2 linked regions of the Kluyveromyces lactis genome follow. The protein of the gene in region 2 binds, or shares a complex with, the protein of the main gene of each other region. Links are inferred from orthologs where the notes say so. Each region holds a gene or a part of one and is shown on either strand. Other genes may lie near its edges.

Region 1 (5,271 bases), about 660 kb from region 2:
ATGGCCCCATACAAGGGATCAAAGACCAAAGCTCTGGCTCAAATATTATACTCAATTAATAGAGACAACATCGACCCTGGTTTCGAAAAAAGGGTAGTAATTTTCGTGAATGAGAAAGAAAATGTTCCACTTGTCGCAACTAAACTAGCCAACCAATATGGACACGACGTTGTTGCCTTGACCGGTAATGATTCTGTTGAAGAACGTCTGGAAAAAATCAAACCTTTCATGGATCCTCCTAAGAAGATGACAACCCGTAAATCAGAAAAAGTGACTACAGAAAACACAGTAACAATGAAGATACCCAACTCAAATATTGTGATTGAAGAAATACCAGAAGACAATGAAGCATTTGTTGAAAGCACTTTGAAGGTTCTAGTAACGACAGATGTTCTAGCAAGAGGTATAAATTTCAGAGGTTGTCGATACGTTGTTCTATATGATATTCCAAATACTCCGGTGGATTTGGTCCATCGAGTTGGAAGAACAGGAAGAATGAATCAAAAAGGGTCTGTATTTATAATTACTGGAAAACGAGTAAAAAATTGGGTCAAAGCTATACCATCAATTGTTTCAAAGAACGTTTCCATTTCCTAGCAAAGCTAACTAATTTATAGATTCTCTTCCACTTGTATATAGAAATCTAAACATGATAAATACTAAAGATCTGTCCAAGAACCTCGATTATTTGCAATCCATGCATGAGATTTAACTTCCGAGAGGGGGATTCTCTTGGAAGGTTCAAATTGCAGCAATCTTACAATGAGATCTCTTGCCTGCGGTGAAACATTTAGTGGGAACTTGAGATCGCACCTCAAAATTCTTCTATATGTCATTTCCTTTGTATCCTCCTCAAAAGGTGGCGATCCAACTAATAGCTCATAAGTTAGAACTCCTAGGGCCCAAACATCTACTTTATTGTTATATTCTCTAGATTTAATGAGCTCTGGTGAAAGGTAATCTATAGTTCCGCATAAAGTCTTCCTCTTTTGTCCATCCTCGTTATATACACTCCAACCGAAATCTGTCAGTTTGATAGTGTTGTTGAAACCAATTAAGATATTCTCCGGTTTTATATCTCTATGCAATATGTTTTTACTATGCATATAATCCAAGGCATTAGCCATTTGATAAACAAAATAGGATGCCAGCGTCTCATTCAAAGGCCCGTTATTCTTCAAAAATTTATATAGTTCTCCGTAATAGACATATTCCATAAGTAGATAAACCCGTTTTTCGTCGTAAAAGAATCCATATAGCTGTGTCAGATTTTTATGTTTGAACGAACCCTGAATTTCTACCTCCCTCCTGAACTGTTTCTGAATTGTATATTGAACAATTTCCTTCTTTTCCATCGCTTTTAAAGCACAAATTAGCCCCGTTTCCCTATGTTTAACGCAATAAACTTTACCAAACTTACCTTTACCTAAGATCTTACCTATTTCAAAGTCCTGAAGTGTCATGTTTTCAAACTTATCGTTGTGATCATTCAATATTGGTACGCGGGTACCATGCGCGGTGTTGGGTTTCTTTACCATTAGCGATCTTCTAGGATTGTTGTTCACTGGTCCAGTGCTCAACCTATGATGAGACGAGGTAATCGAGTCTTTTTCATGTGCGTGTCCTCGTGATAAGCTAGGTCGTTTTCCTGCATTACTTAGTCTTATCGATAATAGTTTACTCTGCTGTAACAATGAATGCCTTCTTCCTGTATCACTTGCATCCCTCGATAACGATGGTCTCATGTTCAATATATTAATCTTGATGTCTGATAGTACCGTTGCACATCCGCCGTCGGATCTTGACCTGGCTTTATGACACAGTTTTACACTCTTCAAGGTGACGTTCTTTAACCTGAATCAGATTCATTTCATTATTTACATTTTCCCTCTCCAAAGGTAAACAAACGGAATCCATTATAGTGAAGCAGAAGAAGACGTAGAAAGACATAGACCGCGATAGATCTAGTATAAAGCTATAGTTGTCAAGGCTAGGTGATTGCTTTTCACTTTTGTCATTTGTATGATATGCATAATGGGTCTTTTTGATTCTTGATGGACTTATCGTGTCCCCGTTCTAGCATGAGTTTTTACTGTAGGCGCTATGTCATGTAGTAATCATGTTTGACCAGAAATAAACTTTCATCATTTAAATTGAATCCATAGTTATCAGTGAAGAAATTTCAGTGTATTTAGGGTAGCACGAACTTGGTCGAAGTAATCCGTTGGGAAACTATAGATCAAGAGGAATAAAGAGGCCTCAAATCGGCTCTTTACGCCATGGTAGTGATGATTCAGCTCGCAGATCTTAAGGAAAAAAATGAAAGTTACCCTACCACACGCATTAGCGTAATATTTACGATAGATTACTGATGCACATGAGATGAGCCGTAAACTTCAAGGAGGACAACTATCTTGATCCAGGGGAATGCCTATCAAGTGCTCAAGTTTCGAAAGCTACACGACAAAGATATATTAATAATGGATAAATTGGACCAATTGCTGGCATTTGCCAAGGACAATGGAGTTTCACTTCCACAAAATGTTGGATTTAAGAACGTGGAGGGGAAGGGTATCTGTTGCATTGCTAGTGATGACATAGAGCAAGCTGTCTTTCAATTGCCCAGCCATCTGATAATTACCAAGGATCTTTCGAACAAACACTTTAGAGATCAAGTGAAAAGCAAAGAACATCACAATACATGGTTGAAACTGTTTTTGAGCAAGCTAAAGTTTTCAGATGAGATGATCATTTTGGATAATGAAAACATCACAAAGCTATTCAGACCATACATTATGGCTTTACCATCACAGGTAGATTCTCCGTTGGGATGGAATCCATCTGAGCTTGCTCTGCTGAATGGGACAAACCTTTACACATCTCTAAAGGAAAAGCTACAATCGATATACGACGAATGGTGGAATGTCATAGAGGGGACTTCTTTTCAAACGCGACAGTACAACATTGAACAGCTCAGTATTGATGAAATATACGAGCAAATAACGAGTAAAGTATTTTCTGAGAAGATTTTGGACTTCTTCTCTTTTCCAGCGTTCTTATGGTCTCATCTAATGTTTACTTCAAGAGCGTTCCCAGAGAGAGTAATAAACCCATATTGTGATGAATATAATGTGATATTATTACCAGTATTAGACCTTTTAAACCATGAGAATAGATCAAAGATTCAGTGGTCATGTTCCAGTGAAGGAAGTTTTATATTTGAAAAACTCGAACCAGTTTCAAAAGGAACTGAAATATGCAATAATTACGGTGCTAAAGGAAACGAAGAGTTATTATATGGATATGGATTCGTAGTCGATGGGAACGAATTCGATAACCTTGCATTGAAACTCAAGTTGCCTTTACCAGTAGTTGAGAAGATTTTAGCAGATGGTTCTGTATACCTTCCAACATTTGATGACTACACAACTTACGCTTTCGATACAGTAAAGGATACCCGTGGAAACCAGAAAAAGACAAACGATACCAAACCATTGAAAGCCCTGGAAAATTTTGCTGATGGAATCCTTTATTTTATCAATGCTGATCTAGAAAATTTGAAACCGTTAATGGATCTTTTCTCACTTCTGAGTAAAAACGATAATGAAAGTGCACTATCATTAAGATGCCAACTGACAGCACTACAATCGTTGAAGAATGCATTGAAACAAAAATTGTACCTAATAATTGATGCAGAACCATTGGAATCACAAAAGGATTATGCTACATGTGAATATAGGAAACAATGTGCGGCGATTTACAAATCCGGGCAAATCTCGATTCTAAAGGATTCTATCAATAATATAAAGAGGTTACAAAAACACATACTGACTGCCTACAAACCATATCTAGCAAGCATAAAGAGCATTATGAAACATGACCGGGATTTTCAGAAAGACTATCACGAACTATACGACCAAACCAACAATGCCGCACCGGCAGATTTAATAGATGAATTTGAATATGCAGTCGCCTGGTTGATGGTGAGAACTCAAAAGCTCGCACGCAGCAAAGAAGCTTCCGAATACCTCTGGGTACAAGATCAATTTACTAATTACTTCTCACATTACACCGAAGACTCTCAAATTTCTAACGCAGGAAAAAGTCTACATAACTATTTCTTCCCCAATGGTAACGATAGAATCTCAGTGAAAACCATGGACTGTATCGCAACTTTTATCAATAATGAGACGTTCCTCATGGAATCATCCGCTTCGAATTCTGTGCCAGTATTTACAAAGTGCATAGACATCCACTACTCCTAAACACTCGATAAAGATTTTAAGATATTATGACCTCTCCGGCTTGGGTGCCCATTTAATTGCCTGCTGAGTGAGCAATAACAAAATCACGTGACTTCAAATGCAAAAAAAGAAAAGAATAATTCGGAACCATCGACTGAACTGGTCTGACATCTTGATTCTATGTAACAGTATGAGTATTTAAACGACAGTTCCAAAATACGTTCCAGTACTCGATTTCGACAGCAAGGTATTTGTCTATTCGGAATAGATTTAATAGAAGCTCAAATCACGCTAACGAGGTTTCGCAGGTTGCTGTTAAGACTTTACTGTTTTTTTCGGGTGTTTGATTCTACTAGTCTTTTTCGCTTACTACACTTTGATCTCTTATTAAGGACACAAATCCATACATCGCAGAATATTAGGCCGACAATGAGTGTGATATCAGATTCTAGCGTAGCTTTGTTTAACAAAATTCCATCTGGTGCGGTACTCTCCGGTGTTGTACTTTGCTATCTGTTATCTGGTGGTAGAGTCTCCATATCTCTAGCTCTAATTATAAGCTTCTTCATCCTCAAGAAGCATAGTTTGGAAGTATCTGAGAGTGGTGATGAACTAGAGAATGAAACACCCAAGAAAAAGAAGGGATGCTGTGGTGGTAAGAATGGTGGATGTTCCAGTAAGAAACTGGACGAATTTGGCATGCCAGTGAAGAAGAACAAGGGATGCTGTGGGGGTGCGTGTAAATCCAAGAAGGCGCAAGATCCTGCACCTGTGGTAGAAGTTGGTTACGATAACGAAATAGATTTCACTGATTCTTTTAAAAATTGATATCACCATCTTTAGTTGTTGTATCAATCAATAAGGGGAGGTGGAGCCTCACATATTTCGGGGGAAAAAAAAGAGGACGTGACGTCTGGCCACTTCAATAATTCGGTAAAAGCAGTAATCTTAGAACTCATATTCAAAATTCAGGGACACATAGGGTACTTTCAATATTGTCTTATTTATTTGTTAACTAATTAATTGT
Region 2 (8,109 bases):
TTTTCCAACATCCATTATTAGCCGAGTTCGATTGGTACTGGCGTGTCGAACCAAGTACCGAATTGCTATGCTCCATCGATTATGATATCTTCCAACAGATGCAGGATAAAGACTTAGGTCTCGGATTCGTCATTTCTATCCATGAATTTGTCATCACAATCCCAACTTTATGGAACACTACTCGTGGGTTCGCAGAAAAACATTCAGAATACATCCATAACGACAATTTGTTGAAGTTCATATCCGATGATGGTGGTGATAGTTATAACTTGTGTCATTTCTGGTCGAATTTCGAAGTCGCCAACCTAAATTTCTACAGATCAAAAGCATACACGGACTATTTCGATTATCTTGATCGCTCAGGTGGATTCTTCTACGAACGCTGGGGTGATGCTCCCGTACATTCAATTGCTGCATCGCTTTTCTTGCCTCGCAACAAATTGCACTTTTTCCAAGATATTGGATATCATCACCCTCCATACAACAATTGTCCGTTCGACAGCGGAATTAGAGCCAAGGGTAAATGTTACTGTGACCCAAAAACCGATTTCACATTCAGGGATTACGCTTGTGGTATTCAATATTACGAGGCCCAAGGCATTGAAAAACCCTTTAATTGGAAAGATTATAGTGGCCGAGGCTATTGATATGGAATCTCACCTGGCCACCATCCACACTTATCATATTAATTCTCCCCTTCCCCCCATTCCCCACGATACTGATAGAACAATACAATTTGGGGCGCATACAGTTTTTTAAACTTTAGTACTCACTCTTATTTATTTGATTACTTGCCAGTATATAATCTGGTAATATTACCGGGTGTTGTAATGGACACCACCATTCACTAAATCACGTGGTTTGTTGATCTTTTTCTCGACTCGCCAAGAGAGCTTTGACACAGAATTTTACAAGTTCTAGGAAAAAAATCTCATCTCATCTCATCGAGCGGAAAGTGACTGTTCAAAAAAGCCAGTTACTCTGTCTCCACAGCTTCTGATAACGCACTTGGTATAGTCAAATTCCTGCCTGATTCACATCGTCAGAAATTTAACATTATCTGTATTATCTGAAGGGTTTAAAAGGAGGATATCTACTAAGGCCTGCTCACAATGGAAAAACCAAAGAGGTATGTTCCAGGTCCAAATGACCCACTTTTACCACCACAACTATCTGAGTTCCAAAATAAAACCACTGATGAGGTATTGGAGGAGTTAAATAAGATGCCATTTTTTATGAACAAACTTGACCCAGATGAAAGCAATGTAGAGTTGGAAGCCTTAAAAGCCATGGCCTATGAAGGTGAGCCCCATGAAATTGCAACTAATTTCAAGAATCAAGGGAACGATCTTTACAAGGGTAAGAGGTTTAAGGATGCAAGGGCTATGTATTTGAAAGCTTTGGATGTTAAATGTGATGTACTATCTATCAATGAATCTTTGTATTTGAATTTGGCTGCTTGCGAGCTTGAAATTAAAAACTATAGAAGTTGTATCAATTACTGTAGGGAGGCACTCAAACTAAATGCAAAAAACGTTAAGGCATTTTTCAGAATAGGTAAGGCTTATCTCGAATTGGGAAGGTTCGAAGATTCTCTCGAGGCCGTTCAAGTTGGGCTTGCCGTGGATCCTGAAAATGGGGCATTAAAATCCATCCAGTCCAAAGCTACTGAAAAGCTTAAACGTAAAAAGGAGCTGGAGAATCGTACTTTAGCTCAAAAACAGAAGGAAAAGGAACTCCAAGAGTTTTTGGATCTGGCAGTACAAATAAGAAACATAACGCTAGTTGATACCAAACAACCAGCAGGTCTTTTGAAAGATACTAAACTCACATTGGAAAACCCAACAGATTTCGAATCACAATTAATATTTCCAGCTATGGTTCTTTATCCGACTACGGACGAGTTTGACTTTATCGCGTCTGTTTCTGAACTATCCACACCAAATGACCTTCTTGATGTTGTACTTAACAGACCGGCAGAATGGTTTGCACAACCAGGGCACAAAGATTTTACTGCATCTAAACTTCATGCATACATGGAAACTCTGTCTGGAGGCTTGATCAAGATTGGTAAAAAAGTTACCTTCCATGATGTTTTGAAGATGGAGAAGCCTAAGGCTCCTCTTTTCGATAAGTCTCTAAGAGTATACTTTGTACCAAAAACGGAGGCACAAGGATGGCTAGATAACTGGGATAAGAATGCAGCAATAATGAAACGATTGTAGATATTACAGACACTAGATATTGCATTATATAGACACGTCACTATGAATTAAGGTAATTTACCTTTTCTTAAGTTTTTGTAGTCTTGAAGTGCTAGTTTGAAAGATCTCATCGATATGTAGCGGTGGAATGGGGCCTAATATTTGCTCTATATCCCAATTTTGTTGCAACAACAATTGTTGCTTTAGTTTTTCTGGCTCAGCCCACGAAGTCAGTGTCCGCTCTACTTGGTTATTACCTTCATCATCAGAAATGATTTCAGGTAAAGTAACATCGTTGGAAGTTCTTTCCGTTTTTGGTGGTGCGCCGATATATTCCCTATAATCAACTGTATTGATATCATGTAACATGGAATTTGTACTGGCAGATTTAGAGAGTGGCGGTAATGTTGCGTTGTTACGATCTAAAAGAATCTTTGTTCTTCTTTTAGTATCCTCATCTGCCTGAGAAATCCTCCTCTGTTGGAGTTCATACTTTTTCCGCATTTGTTGCTCTTGCTGGTTACGCATCACTTCACTCAACCGCTTATTCAATTTTTGCTTTAGCGTGTCTTTCTCTTGTTTGTTGCTTGAACTGCCAGTAATTAGCTGGAATCTGGTCAATCTATCGTGCGAATTGGTTCTTTGATCAGATGATGTAGGAGAGATAGACGTTGATTTATGAGTGGATAACTGTGGTATTACAGGAGGCTGCGATACTTCCTCTGGAAGCTGCTTCTTAGCACGAATGTTGTTGGTTTCATTTGATTGTGTTATATTTTCCCTGATTAAACCTTTTACTGGTGTAAGTTCTTTGATTCTTGGTATTAAAGACTTTCTTTCCGTGGGCTTCGATCTATCAATGAGGTTAGATACTCTTCTTCGCAGAGGTTGTGGTTCTTTCTTGTTATGTTTAGCTAATTGGGGAATCTTAGAATCGAATATATTCTTCAGAGTATGGTGAATCCTTTCCGTATGCGAATTATTTTGCGAGAGTTTTCGACTGGTGGGAGATCCGTGAATAGAGGCACCTGACCTTTGAGATCTCGTTGGTGATGTGGTACTTCTCTTGTTTCGGACAGGAGAAGCGGCTCTTCGATCAGCAGCTTTTCTTTCAAATGATTCAGTTAAATTATTGGAAAGCCGTTCGAAAACGTTTCCTTGATAACGAGGAGATTTCAACCTTGATTCTGAGCTATTGGCAGGGATATGCAATGGGGAGACTTTCAGTTTCTTTTCTTGATGGATCGGGAGAGTCGTCGGCCCATTGATTTTCCTCTTATGCTGACTTGGAGTTGGTTGAACTATTAACGGATCTTTGCTTGGTAAGGGTGCAAACATGTTGGATCGTCTCTGGGAACGATCGCGAATTGTTTTAGTCACCGAACTCAAATGAACTTTGTCATCTGCAGCGGAAGGAATTTGATTTCCCTCGTTTGTAATCTCATTGTCCTTAGTAGGTGGAGCTTTAATTTCATTTGTTGCTGTGAAATCCTTTGCATCCCTTTGTACCGGCCAAGGGAATGACTTGGTGACAGAAGACTCACGAGAAGCTCTCTTGATCGAAGAAGAATTAATCAATACTCGACCCGTATCATCTCCTAGGAGACTTTTCGGCGTTATAGCGGGTTGAAGGATTAACTGCTGCTGAACATTTGTATGATTGTTATCTTGATCCTCGATTTGTGTCTGCCTTGAACCTCGAAGCTCATTCCGAGAGCCAACTGACACGGGTTCCTGATTTGTTGCATTAGCTGAAACAGTATTCATTCCAGTTTCTTGATCATGATCACCACTTCGTATCTCAGTTTCATTGCTACGCGTATCTTCATTGTGTGCTTCATCTGTCTCATGCTCAGGTTGATCATCATTGACAACGCTCTTGTCAGGGCTTACGGGTGCTGCAGTGATAGACTCACCTCTGGGGAATCCAAGCTTAGCCATTTCCATATTAAGCCAGTCGTTACTCCTATAAAACACATCTTCGATTTCCTTATGCCCTTTCAGCATGACATCATTGAACTCATTGAGTGATTCCACAATAGATCGCGAACCACCCGTTTGGTTCTTGAGCTTCTTTTTGGCAGCCTTTAAAGCCCAATCCATCGTTTAAATTCAAAGCCACCACGGGAGCTATCCATGTAAAGCTGTGAATTTCTGAGCTGGGTAGAAATTGGTCGAGTCTTTACCCACAAATATAGAAGTACTGGGGATAAAAGCGTCTAAACTTTTTTGTTATTATTTTGGTTTTGATTCATTATATAAAACGACTTCAATTATACAAACCAAAACAACGCAAGTTTTGTCAGAGTACATGTTGCTGTGCTTGATACCGATTGACCTACACCGATATTTTGGTTCGGTAACTAATCAAACATGAGGATCAACCAGTTAGGATAAAGAAAGTTTGATACTATCCACGTGAATATCACGTGGATCATACGGAAAGAGATTAAACCTATTTTGACAATGGTAAGAATTTGAATACTTCAAGATATGATGAAAGCATGATATTTATGTAGGAAAGTTTACTCAGAAGTGATTTGAAACTGTTTATCAGGACAACAGTTTCCGATTCAAAATATACTGAGAGATTATTTCAACAATTGCTTGTTTGATGACTGCCTGAACTCTTTTCTTTGATGATTAACAAAGCAGCACCTGGGTTGTTTCCTCAAATTCAGTATGGGGTACCGGGGTCAAACGCTATTGAAACCGATGATGATCCCATTTATGGGATAAACAAAGATATATTTCTGCAGGTTTGTCAAAACTTGCCTACAAATTACGAGTCGCTCTTGAAAAGCGATCGTTTTTACATGAGTAAAATGTACTTTGCCGCAAATCCTTCCGCCGCTAAGACATTGGAATATACCGATTTCAAACAATTCAATAAGAATTGCGACAGGGAATTCAAACTTAGGAACAAGCTACAGGACTGGGTAAACAGCAACTCAGAATCGGGAATCATACTTCCACAATTCAATCAATTAGATGCAATTTTGACAAAAGGATACGATGTGGTAAAAACGAAGAATCATCATTGGCGAAATGCCATATCACATTTGTTCAATAAAAGACGAGTCACAGGATCTAGCAGCAAGCGTTATGAAATAGAAATGAATTATACAAACTCTCATGCTTCTACTGCGATTATTGATAATATAGGGCCAGAGCTTGATTTCATCGATTTCAAATTTGAGGATAACGACATTATGAAAATCCAGGAGGTTACCGTTAGTGACAATATCGATGAAGTTCCTATAGACAATCACCACAGAAGAAAATCTAGACATAATACATCATTACAACGTAAATTGAAAATACGACATCTTCAAATGATATCATTGGGAGCAACGATCGGAGTCGGGCTATTTTTGAATTCTGGAAGAGCGTTCTCCATAGCAGGTCCTATGGGCGCCTTTATCGGTTTCTTGTATGGTGCGCTAGTAATTTTGGCGACTCTTTTCTCGTTTGCAGAGATGGTGGCGTTTATACCCTTGATTACAGGTATCTCTGGTCTCTGCTCACGGTTTGTTGGCGATTCGTTTGGATTCACTGTAGGATGGTGTCATTGGTTATCGTATGCTGTAGCTTTCCCATCAGAATTGATAGCCAGTGCTATAATGATATCATATTACACTCCATTCGAGAAAGTAGCAACTGATAATCTATACTTGGGTCTTACCGTTACGATACTTATTATTGTACTTACAGGCATTAATTTATTGGACGTAAGAATATATGCTGAATTGGAGTATATCATGAGTGTGTTTAAATTGGCTGTAGTATTGTTCTTGCTCGTACTAGTACTCATTCTCAATTGTGGTGGCTTCCGCAACGGATACTTGGGATTCAAGTTTTGGACGAAGGATCGATCTCCTTCGCCAGATGTCACATTCGGACCTTTCAGACCAACATTTGATCTTAATGATTACGGCTCTGGTTCCAAGCAGGGTATTGGTGGCTTCGGCGGTGTATTGCTCAGTTGTATCACATGTAGTGTCAGTTCAATTTTCTCGTATATTGGTAGCGAAATTGGATTTATTGCAGCACCGGAAGCCGAGAATCCCAGAAAAGCAGTTCCAAGCGTAACCAAACGGATCTTCGTGCGAGTCGTGCTTTTTTATTTACTCTCGATATTCATGGTTGGAACTGTGATATATGCCGGGGACCCAAGACTTTTACGGATTATTTCAGACAACTCTAAAGTAACTGATCAAAATCTCGAAAAGTTTATGCTTATCATTGACCAATTAGGTGGAATGAACTGCAACACTCGATTGCAGAATGATAATATCTTTCAAGAGTCTTCAAATCAATCACCATGGGTGATAGCGTTTAAAGCAGTAAAACAATGCGATCTTGCGAATGTAATAAATGGGGTATTCGTTTGCATAGGAATTTCAGCTGCCAGTTCGCAGCTATATGCTTCGAGTCGGACTCTGTATTCTATGGCAACACAGAACAAGGCACCAAGTGTATTTACGTGGTGTACCAATGGTGGGGTTCCTTATGTGTCAATTCTATTCTGTGGCTCATTAGGATTTCTAAGTCTATTGTGTTTTGATTTGAGAAGCACTGAGGCTCTTCTTCTTTTTATCAGTATCGGTATCACTGGCTCGGTTGTAATGTGGTTCGGGATGAACTTATCCTTCTTGAGATTCTACATGGCTTTGAAAAGACGTCCCGATATAATTGATAGGAATTCCAAAGAATACCCATACAAGTCTCCTTTCCAGCCATATCTCTGTATCTTTGGCATGGCATCAACGACTTTCTTATTACTGATGAATGGTATACAGAATTTCTTTGTTTGGAAAACGGCGAACTTCATATCATCTTATTTGATAATCGTCATCTTTATCGTCCTGTATTCGGGATACAATGTCGTCAGAACAAGCACCATCAACCGCTTAGAGCAAATTGACTTGGATTCCGGAAGAAGGGAAATGGACAGAGTCCTTTGGAAAGAGAACGCTGATTACACATTGAATATCCAAGAACTTTTCCACAAAGTTTTCAGCTATGTTTAGGAACTAATCTTGAGACAATTAAATAAGGGCATTTTTGACAAAGCTCTCGATGAACATGTGTTCCAAATATAGCATATTGTATATTTATATATATTTATACATATTTATCATAACTTTGGAAATAAACAAAACAAAACAAAATAAAACTAGAAAGAGCGACAGACCAAATCTCAAGGTTACTCGGCTTTTAAGAAATCTATCAATGTCATCATTTCATCATCTCTCGAGGGAGATGATTCTGCGCTGCTTGTTTCTTCTGAAATAGCAGTTGAGAGTCTTTGTTCGAAATGTGGTCTGTATTTTTTGGTTCTTGGGGGTTTTTGGAGTCTGAAATCGTTCACGAAATCCAAATTTATTACTGAGTTTGAAACATTGTCACCAGTTTCAGGTAAGTTGGCAAAAACTGAATTATATCTATCTAATCCATTCAGCTTTGCGAATTGATGGAAATTCTCAAAATGTCCATTTGAATTTCTACGCATCTGTTCTTTAGTGTTTTCTATTGTCAATTTTGGCGAAGGAACTAACGAATGCTTGCTGATTGTCTCTGAAGAACCATCATCCAAAGACAGGGTTCTTAGGGATTGTGTAGGTCTCTTATCATCTAGATAATCTCCTGAATCTGGATCATGGATATCCGTATCAGATTGCCTTCCTTTTGGAGTAAAATCATCAACTGAAACCATTTCCTGTGAATCAGTCATTGCGGTTGCTCTTTTATGAAAAGTTGATCTGGGCGATAATTGGGTTACACTTACGGGGTTAGAAGTAAGCGAAGATCCTGAAATCAGAGATGAAGGACGACGCTTTTTGAAGTCTCGTAACTGCATAGTTGGAGAATCAATACTTGATTTCCTGCTGTGGGCCAGAAA

What was found.
Region 1: SLI15 (region 2) and IPL1 share a complex: the UniProt entries of both Saccharomyces cerevisiae proteins name them as parts of the CPC complex. The link is inferred for Kluyveromyces lactis from reciprocal best matches to the Saccharomyces cerevisiae genes SLI15 and IPL1.

The regions. Positions count from the first base shown.
Region 1 is NC_006038.1:206,204-211,474, forward strand, and holds IPL1 (aurora kinase), read right to left. Parts: upstream 1,746-5,271; coding exon 660-1,745; downstream 1-659. Other genes in the region: MRH4 (ATP-dependent RNA helicase), read left to right, coding at 1-597; RKM1 (protein-lysine N-methyltransferase), read left to right, coding at 2,481-4,265; KLLA0_B02376g (uncharacterized protein), read left to right, coding at 4,674-5,072. UniProt on the Saccharomyces cerevisiae protein: Component of the chromosomal passenger complex (CPC), a complex that acts as a key regulator of chromosome segregation and cytokinesis.
Region 2 is NC_006038.1:866,876-874,984, reverse strand, and holds SLI15 (Sli15p), read right to left. Parts: upstream 4,308-8,109; coding exon 2,283-4,307; downstream 1-2,282. Other genes in the region: KLLA0_B09988g (glycosyltransferase family 15 protein), read left to right, coding at 1-647; HSP70/90 family co-chaperone CNS1, read left to right, coding at 1,113-2,225; KLLA0_B09922g (uncharacterized protein), read left to right, coding at 4,844-7,237; ICS2 (Ics2p), read right to left, coding at 7,414-8,109. UniProt on the Saccharomyces cerevisiae protein: Component of the chromosomal passenger complex (CPC), a complex that acts as a key regulator of mitosis. Stimulates IPL1 kinase activity and facilitates its association with the mitotic spindle.